Linked DNA regions of Tribolium castaneum. The main gene of each other region encodes a partner of the protein of the gene in region 3 in a complex. Links are inferred from orthologs where the notes say so. Each region holds a gene or a part of one and is shown on either strand. Other genes may lie near its edges.

Evidence for each region.
Region 1: Rrp4 (region 3) and Rrp45 share a complex: the UniProt entries of both Homo sapiens proteins name them as parts of the RNA exosome core complex. The link is inferred for Tribolium castaneum from reciprocal best matches to the Homo sapiens genes EXOSC2 and EXOSC9.
Region 2: Rrp4 (region 3) and exosome complex component MTR3 share a complex: the UniProt entries of both Homo sapiens proteins name them as parts of the RNA exosome core complex. The link is inferred for Tribolium castaneum from reciprocal best matches to the Homo sapiens genes EXOSC2 and EXOSC6.

The regions. Positions count from the first base shown.
Region 1 is NC_087402.1:3,055,568-3,060,610, reverse strand, and holds Rrp45 (uncharacterized protein Rrp45), read left to right. Parts: upstream 1-1,875; 5' UTR 1,876-2,022; coding exon 2,023-2,097; intron 2,098-2,145; coding exon 2,146-2,240; intron 2,241-2,282; coding exon 2,283-2,726; intron 2,727-2,941; coding exon 2,942-3,163; intron 3,164-3,206; coding exon 3,207-3,466; intron 3,467-3,511; coding exon 3,512-3,585; 3' UTR 3,586-3,655; downstream 3,656-5,043. Other genes in the region: Usp12-46 (ubiquitin carboxyl-terminal hydrolase 46), read left to right, coding at 140-283, 340-447; RpL21 (large ribosomal subunit protein eL21), read right to left, coding at 1,121-1,600; histone deacetylase complex subunit SAP30 homolog, read right to left, coding at 3,658-3,786, 3,834-4,049, 4,098-4,268. UniProt on the Homo sapiens protein: Non-catalytic component of the RNA exosome complex which has 3'->5' exoribonuclease activity and participates in a multitude of cellular RNA processing and degradation events.
Region 2 is NC_087396.1:13,655,127-13,659,669, reverse strand, and holds exosome complex component MTR3, read left to right. Parts: upstream 1-2,087; 5' UTR 2,088-2,227; coding exon 2,228-2,390; intron 2,391-2,444; coding exon 2,445-3,130; 3' UTR 3,131-3,155; downstream 3,156-4,543. Other genes in the region: X-ray repair cross-complementing protein 6, read right to left, coding at 248-1,786. UniProt on the Homo sapiens protein: Non-catalytic component of the RNA exosome complex which has 3'->5' exoribonuclease activity and participates in a multitude of cellular RNA processing and degradation events.
Region 3 is NC_087397.1:169,508-174,084, reverse strand, and holds Rrp4 (exosome complex component RRP4), read left to right. Parts: upstream 1-1,989; 5' UTR 1,990-2,070; coding exon 2,071-2,195; intron 2,196-2,246; coding exon 2,247-2,484; intron 2,485-2,545; coding exon 2,546-2,680; intron 2,681-2,734; coding exon 2,735-2,914; intron 2,915-2,967; coding exon 2,968-3,180; 3' UTR 3,181-3,204; downstream 3,205-4,577. Other genes in the region: Impbeta11 (importin-11), read right to left, coding at 1-123, 170-627, 681-1,201, 1,254-1,354, 1,402-1,539; uncharacterized protein tyn, read right to left, coding at 3,609-3,760, 3,812-4,001, 4,051-4,277, 4,325-4,464, 4,511-4,577. UniProt on the Homo sapiens protein: Non-catalytic component of the RNA exosome complex which has 3'->5' exoribonuclease activity and participates in a multitude of cellular RNA processing and degradation events.

The DNA.
Region 1 (5,043 bases), on a different chromosome or scaffold from region 3:
TCATAAGAAACATGAGAGAAAAATTATTCAAAATTTGCGCTTCGTTCCGTGTTTTTCAAAACACTGCGAATACGGTTAAAGATAAATGTCCGAGATTTTAATAATTTGAGTTTGAGCTACAGTTTAATTGTGTTTTCAGTCGGACGATGCAGTTAATCCCGACCGATTATACGATTTAGTAGCTGTTGTGATACATTGCGGAAGCGGACCTAACAGAGGCCACTACATCAGTATAGTCAAGAGCCACGGTTTCTGGCTGCTGTTTGACGACGACCAAGTTGACGTAAGTTTAGTGCGTATTTGAGAATTCCCGATGGTTATTATTGTGCTTTTGAATAGAAAATAGACGCTTCAACAATAGAAGATTTCTACGGCCTCACGTCTGATACTCAAAAGTCTTCAGAAACAGGCTACATCCTTTTTTACCAGTCTCGAGAGAGTTTATGAACTCTGCTGCTCCTTGCCTTAATCATTGAGAGGATTTAATACAAGTACAAAGTCACCTCTCATTGCATTGGGACGGGTAATGTTTATGAAAAAAGTCTGTAAATATGATTTGAAACTGAAAATTGTTGGATTTATATTTTATTTATTGCATATTGTAGTTTCCGGCCGTACTTTTTTCCTAAAATTTTTCTTTCAAAGCGATTTACCCGTACTTTTCGAAACGAATCGACGTTGATTTTGTTGTTCTGTTGCAATAAATAGCGATATGTTGAAAACAAGATTTACTTTATTGTGGTGGAACAGCATAGGAATAATTGACTGTATGGTGAATTTTACTTGTTTACTTAATTTGTTTTTTACAAACCTTATATTTATTCCAATTAGCAATAATTCTTAGGTGGTAACCAAACCGTGCATCTAATTTAGCGAGTATTATGTCCCCTACACGGTAAAAAAGTAAAATTCACTCTTCTTATTTTGTTAACAAATACTATACAACTTTTAAATATTATATGAGAAACTAGAACATACTGTATAAATGCTGCTAAGCAGATTTTATTTTTATTCTGTAAATATTCGTTAGATATAAATATATTTGAAAAAATGCACTGACTCGTTTCATTTCAAACACCCAAATTTGTTTTATGTCTTTATTACACAAAAGGCGTACAAATTAAGCAATAAATTCATATGGGATAGGAGCCAATTGAACGGCTGGTACTTTCCCACTGACGATGTGTGCAGGCCTTGGCTGTGCTGGCTGTCTCTTCAAATTCACTCGAATGTTCTTCTCCTTAGCTTCTTTTCGCAATTTTTCGTTTTGTTTCACTCTGGTCAAGAAGTCTTGCCTGCACTTGGAGTGATTCACGTGCTCAATACGGATATTGATACGTTTGGGGATAATACGGCCCCCAACACGCTTGTTAACAATCACACCCAAAGCGTGAGCCGTCACATTGAACACACGGCCAGTTTTCCCATGGTACACCTTGTAGGGCATGCCCTTCTGAACGGCTCCATTGCCCTTAATATCCACGATATCGCCGACTTTGTACACTTTCATGTACGTCGACAGGGGGATAACCCCATGCTTGCGGAACTTCCGAGAGAACAGGTCCCGGGTTCCCCTACGATAACCTTTCGAGTTCGTCATTTTTCAGACCTGCAAAAAGGGCACAAGTTATTATAAGACCAATATCTCAACACTGTAACGTTTATTTGTAGTTCAATTTTATCAAAATTATGAAATAAACATGATTTTTGTGCTTAACCTACCTGCCTTACAGAACACGTTTTAAAGAGGAAGAAAATGGCGGACGCAATTTCCGCTTGAGTCTTTTTCTAGCGACCTCTATCCTATTTTATAAATCGTAAATTATTTATTAAATTTGGTTTGTATTATCAAATTGATAATATAACAGGCATTTTGTGGTAAACACCGGTCCATTTGTTGTGCAAAAATGTGTAAAAAGCCACCAAGTGTATTGTTTAAAATATAGATTCCTGTATTGCCGATGTATTTTTTCTAACCACACTTCTTTGTTACAAAAAATATTTTGAAATTTGAAAATAAAAATGTCGAAAGTACGGGAAACACTTATTACAAACTGTGAACGAAAGTTTTTGATGAAATGCTTGTCGGAGTGGAGGGTAAAAGCGGCACATTTAATTTACAATTTAATTCCATCTTCCATTTAGAGGTTAGATGGTCGAAGTTTTGACGAGTTCAGGCCACTAGAGCTGAAATTTGGCAAACAGTGGGGTTCCTGTTACGTTTCTCTCGGCAACACAAAGTAACCTTCACTTATGAAACACTGACTTCAGTAAAGGAATAGAGTTTTAGCTCAAACATCATGCGAAATCCAACAACCCAAGTCTTCACGACCTAGTGAAGGAATTCTAAACATAAATATCGAGTTGAACCCACTGGCAGCCCCTCATTTCGAAGCGGGCAGACAGTCGGAATTGTCAGTGCAGTTGAACCGACTTTTGGAAAAATGTGTTAAAGATTCTAAAGCTGTTGATTTGGAATCATTGTGCATTAAAACCAACGAAAAAGTATGGGCTTTGAAGGTGGATATTAATGTTTTAAACCATGAGGGGAATATTCTGGACTGCGCCTCGATCGCCATGTTGGCTTCTTTGACTCATTTTAGGCGCCCCGATGTCACTTGTGATGGCGAAGAATTCATCATTCACAGTTACCAACAAAGGGACCCCATTCCTACGGTTATACACCACTATCCAGTCTGCATAACATACGCTATTTTTAATGGAGGGTAAAACACCTTTTGAAAATTTAATTGAAAGCTTGTATTATCATGTTATCCACAAAAAATACTTTAGCTGCACGAATTATCACTTAGAATTTTCAATTTGCGGACTTGCTTGTAGGAAATTTAATTCTCTACAACATTTTTTTGCGTGTATTCGCAGCGTTTATCCGTAAAAAATGAGCATTTTATTAAAAGGACTTGCAGTTTTTTTCTCTTAGGGAGTATATTCTTGCGGACCCGTCACTACTTGAGGAAGGTTCCGCAGATGCAATGCTAACAATAGGCCTCAACGGCTTTAAAGAACTGTGTGCCCTACATTTAGGGGGAAAAGCTGAACTTGCACCAAGTATTATCCTGAGTACAGTTTCTAAAGCCACATCTCGAGCTACTGTTGTGATAGAAGAAATAAAAAAATCAGTTAAGGCCGATACTGAACAAAGGTAAAACCAACAACATGTTGCCGAGTTATAAATTAAATTTCAGGCAAGAGAAGGCTTCGGTAGGCTTTCATACTGAAGATAATTTCAAAACAACTCTAGTCTTTGGCCAGAGCCTTGATACATGGCATACGAATAAAAAGAAAAGAAATAAAAAACATAAAAAAGCACAGCCACAATCCCAGAATACGGTCGTTATTGACAAAGGGTCAGTGGAACATGTGCCTCAGACCGAAAACAAGAAAGAAGTCTGGGACGTTGATAATAACAGTGACGATGACTTAATAATAGTCGAAAAACCTAAAGGTATTACTTAACTTAATTGAAACTAAAATCATGTTTTTTTTTCAGTTCAAATCGAACTCCTAACAGACAGTGAGGAAGACGATGTGGTGATACTAGGGCCTGTCAAAAATAAAAAATAACTTGTGGTTTTTTATTAAATGCATTTTTTTCTTAAAGTGTAATAATTTAATAAAACTTCTAAGGACCTAACTTCAAGTGGCGTCATTGTTCACACCGTTCTTTTGGTCAAGCTTATTGCTGTTTGTTTTGACTGTATAAATAAAAAATGTGACAACTTCCTTCTCCTTGACTTGGATCGACTTAAAGTGTTTCATTAGAGTCTGTGAATGTAATAATTAATACAAAACGTGGATTTTAACCGACTCACATCTGCCAGTTGTGCCTTGTTCAGTCCAGGTCTTGCGGAAACTTTGTAGTGCCTTTTGTACCTCCTCAAAGTGTTGACTCCTAGCTGAAACAGGTCGACTTCTGGCACGTCAGTGTCCGTCTCATTGCTGTCATCCTCCGAATCCTTCCTCCTCCTCTTGGTCCTTGCACACTGGATGATCATCTTGTGAAAGTCGCAGATGTAAATATGCTTCGCCTGGCAAAACAACAATAATTTTCCGATTGAACTTTGCGTTCGACTTACTGAATTATCAATACACAAATTTAACCTCCTTTGCGTCACTGTCTTCTGGATGCGCTTGCTGTATGAAGCATTACCGGCGATTTTGTTACAACGTTCACTATTGTCTATCAAACAGCAGATTTGATCAGTGGGTCCTCTTGAATCTTCCTCGCCCGTACTAAATCCGTTCATTATTCGAAGTGGGTACGTATTTATATAATTTGGGTGCTGATGCCAGTTGGGACGACTGTTCTGCACATCTCTTACACGATACTCGACGTTTTAACCGCACCGACACAATAAATAAAAAGCCAAATTAAACCGAAATGATCATATGGTTACACAAAACCACTATTTGACTGGAGTTGGGGCCTCGAGGGGGCTGAGAGGGGGTTTTAAGGCGTTTTGTTTGTTTGGGAAAAAGCGACATCTGCATTAGGTAATCATCACTTATACAACGTTTGGCTTAGCCAGGCAACGTACAGTCACCGGCGTAAAATTGGTTGCCGACCATAAAGCGTAATTTTTTAAACTCGTTTTTTATTATTCCTAAAATACGTCCGTGTGTCCCTATTCAGTTCCAAATGCACTTAAAAATTTTGGAAAAAAATGTGGGTATGTGAGAAAATTAAGAATAAAAACGATAGGACAAAATAATTATATAAGATAAGTGTTTTGAAGTACGAATTATCGTATACGGTTTCTACTCGTTGCAACAATCCGATGCAAAAGTAATTCGGAAACAGATAAAAAATTAGGAGAATTCAAAATATGCATGAAAGAATTTAGTTTAGTGGATCTTATGAGGTCTGTTCATCTCGTCCAGCTGCTTTATCTAGCGTAGTTCATTTCCTGCTTCCGCGATTCGCTCTTTTCCAGTTCAGTTATTCACTTAAAAAAGGAGGCAAGGAAACTGTTGGGAGAAATTACGATAATCAGCTTATCTTTAATCGTTGAGAATGTTAAA
Region 2 (4,543 bases), on a different chromosome or scaffold from region 3:
TTTTTCTTCAAATGTCAAACACCTAGTGATAAACAAACAATTCCCCAAAAAAATCAAATTAGGGAAAAACAATTCAATTTACTACCTTTTGTGTGATTTTATGTTATTTATTTTAAAGAATTTTCAAATACAACTTTAAAATTCAATACAGCAGTGTTATATTTTATGTAATTAATGTTTAGAGCAATTCCTAAACTTAGGTAGCAAAAAAGTTCTTTTTGGAACTTTAGCAAATACTACAATAAAATTAAGTCTTTGTCTTCTTTGACCCCCTTCCAGAGGCAGGGGCCTTCCTCTTTGGCGCAGTCTGTTCTTCCAAACCAAACAACATTTTGAAACTTGCTCCCAAGTCACCCAACCTCTTATCAATCGCAGCACTGTCTAGCGAAACATCTTCAACATCTTCCTGAGGTTCTTCAAGCAGCTTGGACCTCAAATAAGCCTTTTTCTTGGTGAGGGAAGGATTGGTAAACATTTTGGGGTCATAGTCGAACGTTAGATTATCAATTAGTTCATTGGTTGTTTGGAGCATTTTCTTGGAAAAACTTTCGTTTGGCTCCTCAGAGGCGAGAGCACTTGGGATGGGTTGGTGATCATCATTGAATGGAATTGTTTTAGCGACAAAAACCCTGCTATTGTTCATAAACTTCGGGATAAATTCCACGAAACAAATTTTATCAAGCTTTTTCAATTTTCGGAAACAGACAAGAACTTTGTTCTTTTCCACACAATACTGCCAAAAACTAGCAAAGAGGTCCAGCTCTTCCTTAGGATCCACCTCGATGATTACCGGGTTTGTCAAAACAATGCCCACATCCGTGACCCTGTCAGACACCTGAACTAGGGTGTAACCAATTGGTAGGTCTGTGTTTCTAATTTTGAAGCGTTCACTAACACTGAACTCGAGTGAGCCTAACTCATAGTCAAGCTTGTAGGTTTCAATGGAGTCATTTACTGTTTTTGAAACCTTTTTCAAAAGTTTTCCACTTTCGGAAACGGAAGCGTTGTTGTAAAGTCGTTCCTCTTGGACAAACGACTTCTGCCTGATTTTAAGAAACCGTGTTTGGTCATTCGCAAAAGGGAAAAACAGCAACCTCCTTTGATAAAATCTCCTGACAACTGAGGAAGAAAGTTTCTCAAATAAACCATCTTCATCTTCCACAACTGTCTCAACGGGAGGGCTCTTAATGATTGAAAATAACTCATTGTAGAAAATTTTATAATCGAAGTTGGGCTTCATGGTCACCAACTCGAAAGTGATATCATTAGACTCGAAATTTTTTGCTTCGTTAAGTGCAGCAAATCTTTGGTTCTTGTCACCACGAACGGGGTTATCGTCGTTGGTTATGAAAATGATCGTTCTTTTGTAGAACACCGAATTGACTTCCTTGAACTTTTTTTTGCAAAAGAGGAAAAATGAACTCAAATTTAAGCCGCTTTTTCTTTCATACATATCCAACAATTTTTCCTGCGACAATTCATTCTTTTCTTTAAGCAATTTTATTGATTGTAAGATGTTATCGTTGAAATTGACAAGCGACGCTGAAGCATCTTCACGTGCCAATACCACACCAAAAGGGCTCCAGCTTCGCTTATTTTGGACAAATATTAGCGAATTTGCCAGATTATAACAGGCAGAAATGCAATCCTTAAACGGGGTATTGCCATCGCTTTCGTTTTTAACAAACATCGAAGGGTCGGTATCGATTGCAATGAGGACGAAAGATGGTTTGTAAAACGTGTTAGAACTTGCAGATTCGTCTCCTACGTCTTCGTTATCTGACATCTGAAAAGAATAAGTTCATAAAACATCTTTATTTATAAACGTATTATCAATAGGTAGTAACATTTCTCACCTTGATTAATTAATTAACAGTAAACAATCAAAAAGAACAACAGCAACAAGTTTACACAAAGTTGCGCCAAATTTGACGTTTTGTTGACAATCCCCTTGAAAGCGAACCACCAGAAAACATAAATCCAAAAATGCGAATAAATAAGTCTAACATTTACTCTAACTATATGTTGCTGTACAACGGCACAAATTAATACGCGCCTAACGTAGTTTTTATGAAAAAGAATTAAATTAATTGTGTTTTCTATTATTCGACTTTGTGAGACTTGTAAACCTTGAACTTGGAATGGTTGACAATTAGCTATATAACCTTACTTTTTTCTAACATAACCTTGAACTGAGAGATTTAAAATATAATTTGCAAAATACACTATGCCCGTGGATCACAAAAGAATCAACGGTCCGGAAATTTCAATTCCGTACCAACTATTCGACAAATTAAATACAAAATCGTTGAAAACCCAATTCAGTGAAATAGTGCAGCCGAATGGGACACGAGCCGATGGCAGGACATCAACCGAACATCGAAAAATATGTAATTTGTCTTTAGGCCCTTGCGTGTTCCTTGATCTAATTTTTAATTTTCTAGTCTTGAAAACTGGGGTTGTTAGCCAGGCCAAAGGCTCAGCGTACATTGAATTAGACCAAACCAAAGTAATCGTGTCTGTATTCGACCCCCGCGAGATACCCAACAAAACTGACTACAGTTCCAAGGGCGAAATCTACTGCGAGTTTAAATTTGCACCCTTCAGCTGCCACAAACGTAGGTTGCACCAGCAAGACGCTGAGGAACAACAGTTCAGTGCTATTATGAAACAAGCGTTGGAATCGGCAGTATTCAGGCACGAGTTTCCGAATTTTCAAGTCGATATTTACGCAATGGTGCTGCACAATGATGGGGCTGCTCTAAGTGCGGCTATCACGGCAGCTGGGGTCGCCTTAGCACATGCTGGGATTCCAATGTATGATTTAATAACGTCAGTGACTTTAGCTGTGCAAGGGAATCATCTTTTGGTCGATCCAACTTTAGAAGAAGAACGTTTATGTCAAGTTCCTCTGTTTAAAGAAGAGGAAAACAATCACGGGATTGTTGTGCTGTCGGTTTTAGCGACACATGAGCAAATTTCACAATTTTATCAGAGTGGATATTTGTCGTACGCTTGCTTGAGTTCAGGCATTGAGATGCTTACTAATGCTGCTAAGGACATCGTTACTTTAGTTAAGAAATGTCTTGTGAAACATGTTATTAAGAGTGTAAGAATTGTTGAAGATTAAAGAAATAAATTATATTTTATTTAAATATTTTTTTCACTGTCAAGTAAGGCACTAAAGTTGAATTTTTATTACAAATATGGAGTTAAAAAAACAAAAAAAAATTCGCGAAGTATGAGAACTTTGGGATGTTATGCAACCAATAATACAGACTTTAGTAATTCAGTCTTTTTTAAACACTTTCAACACGATATAATTTATACTGAGAAGTACTTCTTGACATACACTTCAAAGTAGTATTGGAAGAATTTAAGATTTTGCTCAAACAATAAACGAATAAAAAATAATACCTTTTTAATTTTTTTCTTGGTCTCCGTGGTGGTCAAATTCAGAAATTAAACCGTTGAAAGTATAGAAATATGATGTCCTAGACTTTTTGAAAAAAAATTACTTCTTTACAATTTTTTGTATCTTCAACCATATTCGCAGCATTCGCAAAAATATAAAATGGAACGTAAATTGAGCGTTAATTCTTTGCGCACTGTCCCATATTTATCAAAATGCTGGGAATACGGTTGAAGATGCAAAACAGTGTATGGGACAAAGTTGTAGAAAATTAAATTTTCTTTAAAAAAATCTGGACACCATATTTTTATCTTCTACAGTTTAGGTATAAATTAACTTTGCATTACTTGACCACCGGTCAATTCAAACGAATCCTTCGCTTCAGCGTCTTTTAACTTTGGAGTCTAAACCATTAACGTTAAACATATTGTCTCCAGACTTTTTTAGAGGAAATTAAATTTTCTACAAATTCTACAAACATTTTTCTTGTATCTTTAACCGTACTCGCACCGTCTTGAAAAATACGAGATGAAACGCAATTTTAAATTTTAAAAAATTTTTTCTTATGTTTCTTATATAAACTTTAGCCGTCAGTTTTTCACAGTCTGTTAAGAGAGTAGACTAAAACATTTCTGAATTTTTTTCCAAGTAATTAGAGAAGTGGTTGAATTTTAATTAATTTAAAACGTTTTGGCGCCGAGACCGTTTTACGCTTGAAGAGCCCTAATTTTTACTCTACGGTATTATTTTTTGGGTTTAGAAACTCCTGCGATTTTGTATTTCGTTATAGTTGTAGTCCCCCGTAGTTGCGAGGCCTAGCAATTAAATTTTCGTAATGATAAACGTAAAAGGTGTTGTTAAAATTCTTCAAAATGTAGCCTTTGTAGTATCTTTCTTCTGTTTAAATTTTTACACCACTCAATGGCTTTAGAAAATAAAATCAAAATAGAATTAAAGCGTCTTTAATTAAGTATATTTTATTGGAATATAGTCAGTGGTTGTGAAAAGTAATATTAATTTTGTGTCTGGCATAAGTAAGTAATCTTGTTACAATTAGATTGCTTGAAATCTAGTCAGACGAATGGAAGCATATGTGTGTATAATAGTTAAGTTTCACATTAAATTTGCTCA
Region 3 (4,577 bases):
TATTCCTTGAGTGTCTTCGGGTAAAACAATACAGTTGGTTTCATGAATCATTTCAAGCAAAACCGGAGCTAAAGCGTCCCGAAATTCGTGAAAAATTGTCACGAAAACAGTTTCCATACAAGGCTGAAATTGTATTTAATTTATTTACACAATTATTTCTTGTTCTTACCCTCAAACTATACTTCCAACTATCACCACTTTCATCAATCGCAAACGTTTCTGGATCAGCATCCCACATTTCCAACTCTTCTTGTGTCAAAATAAAATAATGCGAGACCAATTTTCGGCAAATTTCGGTTAAAGTATTGGCTTGAAAAAAATTAATTTTGATCTCGTGCGCTTTAAGTGTTTCCTCCTGTTTACACATTTCGAGAATTTTCGGCGGTTTATATTCCACACACAAGAGAATATTTTTAATTAAATTAAAACACTGAATAATGAAGCGTTCAAACAAGAAATTAATTCCATCAGGAGTGAAAAGAAAATAAGTAGTAAATTCGAACGAAGGTTGAATGAAATCAATGAATGAAAATGGATGTACGTCCAAGACGGATATTAAAACTTTCGTTAAGTGTGTAATGAATTTTTCGCATTGTTCCACCAGTTCTTTATCCCTCAAATGTTTCCCTGTAATGTTCAAATGTGACGAAAAAAAAATTATAACCACACAAACTACTCACTGCATTGCAGTGCCATTTTAGCGCGATCAAAAATCACTTTCAAAAACTTCATACAATCCTGGTTTTGATGCGGTTTATAAAAACCAAAAACAGTCAATTTGCGTAAAATCCTCAAAGTCAATAGTGCTTTTTCCAAATTTGTAAGAACTAGTTGCGAAGCTGCGCCTTTCATTACATCATTCATAAATTGTTCGGTGAAATTATTCCATAAATTCAACACAAACGAATAAATATTACTGGAAAACTCTTGGAAAAAACGGCGATCGCCTGTTAACCGTTTCGAAGCAATGGCTTTAACTACATGATGAAGAGTTAAAAATCCTCGATGTTGGACTAGAGAATCAGGACTTTCAATTACTTGTAGTAAAGTCGGAAATAATTCGGGCCACTCTTTCGGACAATCAATTCGTGCAATTTTCGAAATTAAAACCGCTCTTTGTACCGCAATCTGACTAACGGGTTCGTTAAAACTTAAAATTAAACCGTGTTTAATGTTTTGTTTTTCTGCCTCTAAAATAGCGCTAGAAATGGACATTAACTTTAGTTAGGTACATTACAACTTGCGTGACTTACTTTGGTGCGTTTTTTCTCCAATATCGTTCAATACCATTTTTTATATACAAAACTGCAATCCACCGTACGTTTATATCAAGCGAGTGGTTAGATAAAACATTCTGAAGAATGGTGTATTATTTAATTGTGTTTTTTGCCCAATACGTACAAATAAAACTGTGTAAAATCCAGGTTGAGTTTCCCATTCCCGTAATTTGGCTTCAGCCGGTTTTAACACTTCTGGATTTTGACTCGAGGCTCTTTGCAGAACTTCAATTACGATGTCTTGTGTTGATCCCGTATTCATTGTGAATTATAATCATTTCCCCCTTGAGAACCACAATTTATTATAATACACAACAATATACGAATTATTTTCAATAAATTTTAACTTGTGTGTAAGACAAATCGCAAAAGTGAGGTTAGAATAATTTAATTTTGATTTCCTAATACGCCTTACATTATGGTAATAACAAATTTAAAATTTTTTCATTTCAATGTGGAAAAGAAAATTTTGCCTCACCTGACCGGTATTATACAATTATTTTTTCTTAAATAAAATTATCAATTGTCAAAACACATATGACATGTTTCAAATGACATGCACGACTACCACAACAGTCATTAAAAATACCAAAAAACAAAAATTTCCTTTTAATAATTAAATTACACATAAAACCGACAAAATAGAAAATTAAAAACAAGTTTCAATAATAATTCAGATTGATAACAGAGAAGTCACAATTTTATATAGATTGCGTACTTGCGTATTGTTGCTTGCCTAACCCAGTAATTGTTGTTTCTAATCTCAAATGCGGTTCGAGTGTTTTGCAAGAACATGCCGCAAAAAATTCACATACGCCTTGCCGCTCATCGCATCAACCCCTCAATTGCTGTTAACCGTCGAGTTCCAAAGATATTTACTCCGGGACAAGTGATTACGGAGCAAAATGAATTTATGAGGTTAGGTTTGTCTCGTGTTTTTTTTTGAAATTTTGCGATTTTTCTAAATAGAGGGCATGGTACGTACGAAGAAGAGGGTTTTTTAAAATCATCAGTTGCTGGAGTTAAGGAACAAGTAAATAATTTGATTTCGATTCGTCCGTTAAAAAGTCGATATAATGGTGAAGTGGGTGATGTGGTGGTTGGACGAGTCACAGAAGTCCAACAAAAACGCTGGAAAGTTGATACGAATTCGCGTCTGGATTCGGTCTTGTTGTTGTCTTCCGTTAATTTACCAGGAGGGGAACTGGTACATAAAAGATTTTTTTGGTCGTTAATTTTGCAAGTAAGTTGGCAATATTAAATTTCAGCGGCGTAGATCAGCAGAAGACGAGCATATGATGAGACAATATCTTCAAGAGGGCGATCTTATAAGTGCCGAAGTACAGAGCGTTTATTCAGATGGTTCTTTATCTTTACATACTAGAAGTTTGAAATATGGAAAAGTTTGTCTCGTGTTTTTCGTTACGTTTTGATTATACGTTCATTTTTGATTGTAGCTTTCTCAAGGTATTTTAGTTAAAGTCTTTCCCTCGCTCATTAAAAGGAGCAAAACACATTTTCACAATTTCTATGTTGGGGCTAGTATTATTTTGGGCAATAATGGGTTTATTTGGATTTATCCAACTGTTTCAAATGCTGAGGATAACGCTGGTGGCTTTGTGCAAAATTTGGAACAAGTTGTGTCTCACAATAGTTTTGTTGTTTTTTTTTGCTACTGTGGTGTTTTTAGGTCGTTTCAAGGCCAGAAAGAGAAACAATTGGACGTCTTCGAAACTGTATTTTGGCGCTTATTCAAAGTAAAATGATGCTGTACGATACTAGCATTTTGTATGCTTTTGAAGAATCACAGAAATATTCAGTGGCTGAATTATTGATTCCTGAAGCTATGGTCGATGTAGCAATTTTGACTCAGGATAGGTTAAGCATGTTGGAAAATTCATAATAAATAGTTTTTTCTTATAAAAAATGTCTATTATTCGACTTGAGAACGTGTATAAAATAATCGATATAAATAATGTTAGCCTAGTCGAGATATATACAAAAAAGTAAATAAATAAAATAAATAAGTACACGAATTAGACTGTTTACCGTTACAAAATTTGCTCTAGGAACGAGAGTCAGTGCAAATTAGTTTTAATAAGAGATCAAGAAAGTATAACTTTTGCAACGGTAAAATAAAGCTTCCATCACCAAGGCCGCCACCTTCCCGAAAAAAAATCCTTAAAAAATACATATTGCATAATGTAGAGTCGGGGAATTCCCTATTTGATATCTCATCTCGAGTTAACGATATCACAGAACTAACAATGCTGCTCGTCAACTCAACCGAAAGATCAAACTTGATTAAAGCACCAAAGTGTCTCTAAATCTTCAAGCGATGTGTTTCCCGGGATTTAACCACTTCTTCATGTAGTAACAGAACAGCGTACTGATGTAAAGTAGAACTAATAAGGCACAAGTCACACCCAAGGCTAACACTGAAGTCTTGGTGGGGCACGGTTCAATGATCGTTACTGTTTTATCTAGAAACAAATCAATTGAATAAAAACTCGTCCGAAATCCAACACTAATACCTTTACCGAAATCAGCACTCGATTCGCTGCTTTTGAGAAACTGCGATTGTTTCTCATCTCCAAAATCAAGAACTAGGATCTCTTGACTCAAAGTCATGTCTTCTTCCTTTTCTTCATCGGTTGTATTACTCACAGATCTCTTTCTCCTACCCCAAGATTCGATCGAATCCCGTCCCCATTCGCACACAGCCTAACACAAGAAAATCACCACAAATAAACATAAAAAATTAATTACTCACAGCTTCGCACGGTCCCAGACAATACTTGACATTGCATTGAAAAATCACGCCGTATGATTCCGTGAAACGGAAAGCTTCATACACTGATTGGAGAGCATTTCCGTCGGGAGTGAAGGCAGGAAAGATGCTGGGATCAACCGGACATCCTTCGTCATCAATAATTTGGAACGTACTTTTAGAATCTTTAGCCATTGCGACACAACTTCGCGCAAAAATACCATACGGTGCTAAAATAACAATAACAATATTTTAATGGTTAAAATAAATTACATACTGTCTTCGGGAATTTCAATCCTGAAAGTGAGTTTGTCTCCAATTCGCACTGTTTCCACCTCACGAGACCGACTATCCAAGATGCGGATTCTTGGAGGTGGCGCTTCAGGAGCTGAGGTGATGCTAATCATTTCAGGATCTCTGCAAAAAAATTGGATCGAGTTGTTTTACATATTTTATTTCTCACCTGATTGGCATCATTCCGAAGGTGATATTTTTCGACGACATATCGTACGTGCACTTGACTTTGTAGA